Linked DNA regions of Saccharomyces cerevisiae S288C. The gene in region 1 interacts genetically with each later gene. Each region holds a gene or a part of one and is shown on either strand. Other genes may lie near its edges.

The links.
Region 2: mutations in COX19 (region 1) and YGR127W together harm fitness more than expected from each alone (negative genetic interaction), as found in Saccharomyces cerevisiae (one large-scale study listed by BioGRID).

The regions. Positions count from the first base shown.
Region 1 is NC_001144.5:107,840-110,791, reverse strand, and holds COX19 (Cox19p), read left to right. Parts: upstream 1-1,819; coding exon 1,820-2,116; downstream 2,117-2,952. Other genes in the region: aspartate--tRNA ligase DPS1, read left to right, coding at 1-890; serine/threonine protein kinase KNS1, read left to right, coding at 2,893-2,952. UniProt on the Saccharomyces cerevisiae protein: Required for the assembly of mitochondrial cytochrome c oxidase.
Region 2 is NC_001139.9:745,006-748,520, reverse strand, and holds YGR127W (uncharacterized protein), read right to left. Parts: upstream 1,724-3,515; coding exon 785-1,723; downstream 1-784. Other genes in the region: UTP8 (Utp8p), read left to right, coding at 1-571; YGR126W (uncharacterized protein), read right to left, coding at 1,994-2,686; VSB1 (Vsb1p), read right to left, coding at 3,086-3,515.

The DNA.
Region 1 (2,952 bases):
TGGCCACAAAGAAATTTACCGAAGTACACACACCAAAACTGTTGGGTGCACCAAGTGAAGGTGGTTCCAGTGTGTTTGAGGTGACATACTTCAAAGGGAAGGCCTACCTAGCTCAATCTCCACAATTTAACAAGCAACAATTGATTGTGGCCGACTTTGAAAGAGTTTACGAAATCGGGCCTGTGTTCAGGGCTGAAAACTCCAACACCCACCGTCACATGACCGAGTTTACTGGTTTGGACATGGAAATGGCTTTCGAAGAACATTACCACGAAGTTTTGGACACGTTGAGTGAGTTGTTTGTGTTTATTTTCAGTGAATTGCCCAAGAGATTTGCTCATGAAATTGAGTTGGTACGTAAGCAATACCCTGTTGAAGAATTCAAGTTACCTAAAGATGGTAAGATGGTTCGTCTAACATACAAAGAAGGTATTGAAATGCTAAGAGCTGCCGGTAAGGAAATTGGTGATTTTGAAGACTTGAGTACCGAAAATGAAAAGTTCTTGGGTAAGTTGGTTCGCGACAAATACGACACCGACTTTTACATCCTAGACAAGTTCCCCTTGGAGATCCGTCCCTTCTACACAATGCCCGACCCAGCCAACCCTAAGTATTCTAACTCGTATGATTTCTTCATGAGGGGTGAAGAAATCTTGTCCGGTGCACAACGTATCCACGACCATGCTCTATTACAAGAAAGGATGAAAGCCCATGGTTTGTCTCCTGAGGACCCAGGTCTAAAGGACTACTGTGACGGCTTCAGCTATGGGTGTCCTCCACACGCCGGTGGTGGTATCGGTTTGGAAAGAGTTGTTATGTTCTATTTGGATTTGAAAAATATCAGAAGAGCTTCATTGTTCCCAAGAGATCCAAAGAGATTAAGACCATGAAGGAGTCTCCTCCAACGTTTTTATGTAGCGAGTGAAGGTAAAAAAATTTTCAACATTTCTAATTTTTTCCTGTCACCCACTTTTATTTTAACTGAATTATTATATTTAGCTTTACACATATAAGTCTCAACGTCTGACATATGTCACACTTTCTTTACCGCCAGACCACTTCTAATATTCCGAAAGCAAGGGCTATGAGCAGTCCGACAATTCGGAAACCATAGCTCGCCATAATTTACACGCTCTATGCACATATTAAAATACATTTAAACAGTACTTACAGCGCATCTGGGATGGTTCGGTTATGTACCAGGACAATATTAAGTTGACGCGTCAGTTGAGTAGTAATCGTCCTAGTATTTTCGCCTACCATGCCGCTTTTTGCGTTTTTGACCGCCTCTGGTCCCTTATACAATCCACAGGCAAAAAAAAATTACATAACAAGATTACTCTTCAAGAAACCTGGAAAATATTTTTTTGGGCAGTTTTTTAAGACGATAATAAGTTCTATGCCTCATTTACGCACCAGCGGTTCTATTACCAAGCTGACTCTTATCGGCGATGAGTATGATCTAAGGCTCGGGCCGCCCATTTTGCTGCTCCCGGTCAAGTAGCACGCTCCCTCTTTTCTTATCGCAGGCTTTGCCCACTACCCGATCTCTAAAGCGCCCATTTAACCTTTTTTAAAACAACAGCTTAAAAGCTTTTTGGATAAAAAGCTTTTATTACTACATCTCTGCATCTTCTCTCCGGGGTCTAAGAAAAGGGCTCAAATTCGCGGAGTTGAGAAACGAGAAAATCCAAATAAAGCGAACAAGAGGGAAAAAAATTTTTTCTTCCGTTCTTTCCTTCTTCTATACTTCAAGAAAACAAGCAAACGCACCCACTACACACAAAGTATCTTTTACGAAACATAACACAAGAATCCAATGTCAGGGAACCCAGGAAGCTCGCTGAGCGCATTGAGACCTACTCCACCCGAGAGAGGTTCGTTCCCGCTAGACCACGACGGCGAATGCACCAAGTACATGCAAGAGTATCTCAAATGTATGCAGCTTGTGCAGAACGAAAATGCAATGAATTGTAGACTACTGGCAAAGGACTACCTGCGGTGCAGGATGGACCACCAATTGATGGACTACGATGAATGGTCACATTTAGGTCTTCCTGAGGATGCTCCAGGCAACAACGGTAAAACCATAAAAGACGCCACCGATAATAAATAGCCGCCCACATCGGAATATCGAATAAAAGCTAGACGCTGTTGGTAATATCATACTTTCTACAACAACTGGTAAAGAACTTCTTTTTTTGAAATAGCCGCCGATATGGCGCGAAGTGACCCTGCTCGAGGCTGTGCGGGCCCAGGCCCGTCCGTTTCTTTTTTTTCTAGGGGGCGGCAAACGGGCCAAAGGGGTCAGCGTGATTGGGCGGTTTTCCACAAAGCTTTAGTCTCTCTCCTCACGCCTTGGCTTAGTGAGTGGCCGGAGTTAAAGTTGCGAGGAAACACACAGCGAAGGGAAAAAGCTTTGGCGTGCTTAACGATATGGCTTATGGCCCGGTTGCAATGCTGGTTTAGTTTCCGATTACGATTTTCGATTTGAATCCTGGCTCCACATCTCCCACCCTCTTTTTTTATCTCTAGCATCGTGCGTTGGATTTTATATTATGAAGTTCCTATATTAGAATAAAGTTTAGTATTTACTTCCCAGATCTACCGGATTTACAAAGTATTGTTACCTCACCACCAAGTGAAAGGAAACAGTGCAGTAACTCCTCGTGCTTACGCTAACTAAATAGATATTATATTCACGAAATACTGCGCCAGATAGCAAGCAAACCCAAAAAAAAAAAAGAAAAAGAAAAAGGAAACAAAGTGGGAGACAGAAAAAGAGTGAAAGAAACATAGTATTTACCAAGTCGAAGATTTAGCACAACAAAGACTAATCTACACGCATACTGCTCTTCTTCATTATTGCTTTATCTTCCGCGTACCTTAGTTATGTCACAGAATATTCAAATTGGCACTAGAAAACGTTCAAGAGCAAATATGAATAATTCC
Region 2 (3,515 bases), on another chromosome or scaffold:
GTTTTTATTGACACACCCATTGTTTCCATTGAGTCGTACACGCAACTTGCTATCCTTACTAAGAGACCAACCTAGATTATTTAAACAAGCAATTGTAACATGCCCAAACTTGCCATTAAATGAACTACTTGAAGAATTGTTTTCTATCAGAAACAGGGAACTATTACTTGATATCTCATTTAGGATTTTGCAGGATTTCACCAGAGACTCTATTAAACAAGAAATGAAGAAACTAAGTAAATTAGACGTTCAAAATTTCATTGAGTTCATAACAAGCGGTGGTGAAGACAGCTCACCAGAATGCTTCAACCCTAGCCAAAGCACGCAGCTATTTCAACTCTTGTCCCTTGTGCTAGATTCTATCGGGCTATTTTCATTAGAAGGTGCTCTATTGGAGAACTTAACCTTATATATTGACAAACAAGTTGAGATTGCTGAAAGAAATACCGAATTGTGGAATTTGATTGATACGAAAGGTTTTCAGCATGGGTTTGCTAGCTCAACCTTTGATAACGGAACTTCTCAGAAGCGAGCCTTACCCACTTACACCATGGAATACTTGGACATTTGAGTATGCAATGAATTTGATTGTATTGTATAATACCTATATAGAAAAGGAACTAATATATATAGCGTCTACTGTGGTTACTGATAAACTAACAGGCATTTAGAATTTGAAAACATCATATACATTAGATGTGTCCAACAAGAGATACCGGAATGTTCTGAGGGGAAGAAGATGGAATTTAAAGCTAGTTTGAAATAAAATGGAAGATTGTGATTTTTACAATTTGAATTTAAACCTTTTTTCCTCCTTAGGTGAGGTTACCGAATACTTGCGCACGTCTTCATCTGAGCTATAAAGGACCCTTTCTATAAAGGTAACTCTCGTTGAATCCTTACTCACGAGTAAAACTATTTGAGAGCGAGTTCCGTAGTAATCACCATCAGGAATTGAGGCACCTAAGTCATCCCTGGGAGGCCTCCGTAAAGGTGGTACGTATATGGTATTCATGGTTACATTTGGATCTACCATCTGCAAGACATCTGGGTTTGAAATAGTGCTTGGAAGGGAAGACTTCGAGGCGAGTTGAAAGCAACTTGATATTATTTTCTCCTCATCTGATTCAATATTCTCTAAAACTAGATTTTCTAAACTATCACGTGCTACCTTTACTTTTTCCCAAGCCTGCCCTGGTATACTGGAGCTGTCATAAAATTTACCATTAGAAACAACCATGTAAGAATCAAGATCTTTCCTACAGGTAGAACTCAACACATCAAAAGTTCTTCCTAGAGAATCAATAACTTTATATTGCTTTTTGATAACGTCGCCGTAAAAAAAATTAAAATCACCTGTGGACTTCAACCCATCATAGTGACCTTCAAACTTTTTGTAATTATCCCAATCTTCAAAATCTGCTTTATGGATCGACAAAAATATAAATGGTAACAGACCACGGGATCTTGATTTCGTATTATTTTGCTCATTGTCAAGTTTTAAATTAAGAATAGTGGCTAATTTTCCTTCTTTATTTATGCCAGACCAAGTGCCAAATATTTGTTTTTCTGCTGAGGTTTTGGCCAGATCGTAGGGTGAAAGGATAAAATCATTGTTATGCCAGCATGTAGCATGTGTTTTTCTTGCCAAGAATTCGTCTCTGTTAGATATTAAGATGAGTTCATAGTCAGGATGTGCCCTTGTGGCCATTAAAATGCACATTATTTGTTCGTTAGTTTTTGGTTTTTAATACTTTAGCCACAGGTGTGTTAATAAATGCAAGCGTTTCTTTCCTTTTCTGCCTCACTTCATATACTACTATCCTACTCCACTTTCAGGGGGAGACTATTTTTTTAGCGCTTTAGGAATTGAACGAAAAAGTCGAAAGCTAGGCAGATGCCAAGAATATAATGTGAGGCAAAAAAAAAAAAAAAAAAAAAAAAAGAATGATTCTGAAGTAAACGCATTGCGAACTAAATGTTGCTATGCCACTTAATCGAAAATTCTATGAAAAAACCCCTTGATCCCCTTTTCTGATTTATGTTTTTGATATTTTTCGATCCTCTTCTTATTCTTCTCTACTGCCATGTTCAACTTGTTTGGTTCTAGAGAAGAACCTTGAGAATTTGTAGTAACCTTGGATCGTGTCGAATGCATATCTGTATGGTCGTTAATATGCTCTTTTTTAGTTGAGGATACGCGAGAGTCCTCCCTCTTCAAACTTTCAAGCGTCTTCAATTTGACCAACCCGGTTTCAGTTTCTAAACGATACTCTTCTGGAAATGCAGCATCGTGAGCTGAGTTTGTTACTGGGGCGGTAATATCCGGAAGAGCTTTCTTGTTCAAATTTAAACCATCTTCTTTTAAGGAATCAACTGTTTCTGAGTTGCCCTCTAAAGCATTGTGGGTAACCATCTTTTCTATCGAATTTGAAGTTGGCCTTTTTAAAGTACTAGAACTGTGATGAGAATGCACATCTGAATGACGGTGTTGATCATCTACATTACTATCATCTTCCAGTTGCCCCTTTCCAACAATGGTATCGTTTTTTAAAAGAGGCTGTTCTGGAGCTTCAGAATCTTTGAACCCAGTAAAGGGCTCCGGTTTGTAAGAGTCAATAGAAGAAAAGGACGATATGTCTTCATATTCATTATCGGTAGTGACAGTAACAGATGGGACAGGCATAGTCTACGTTGATACGTTGTTATGACTTTGATTTGTTAATGCGGATATAAACTAACCGTACAACTACCCGTTGTGAATTGTTGTGGTAGTATATTAATGAAAAAAGTAACGGTATTTTTTTTCTTTAGGAGAGCAATTAAGTCAAGTGAGGTATGTAGTTGCTCATCGATGGGAATTATCACTTTTCGTCTACGATAGGGGCCCTATCAAAGAAAATCGCGCAGTAAAATTCCGGAAGTGAAGACTCAAGTACAAAAAGTTTATAGTCGAGATGGTAAAAATCCTACAACGGCATCACTTATACAGATGCAGGAGCATCCTGCTTTTATTTAGTACTGGTGTAAATTACTTGCAATACGCCGGCAATAAAAGAAATTAAATAAATATACGTGTACGCTCTCATGCGCTAACAAGTGTGTAACCTAGTAATTCTTTGAATCTGGTGTCCTTGATACACATGACCATTAATGCAACCTCCACGTACAATGCTAGATTGTCTTCTTTCAATTTGTTCAACGAGCTAGAGTCTATAACCCATAATACGGAATCAGTTTCAGTTTCGATGGTGAGCTTTTGTTCTCTAGGCATAGCATTCCCTGGCGCAATGATTTTTCCGAAGCATGTGCCATTTGAAAAAATCTCGTACAAGGTTCCTTGTGGTAGTTCATATGTTGCCTTCAACATACCTGTTTCCACAAGGAAAAAAATGTTGTCTGCATGTAGTAAATGTGATTGACTTGCTAATCTGCGCCTGGTGAAGTAGGGGCAGAGTTGTGCCCAAAACTTGATTTCCTTTTCTCTTACTTTTTGAACTTCAGATATTATATCG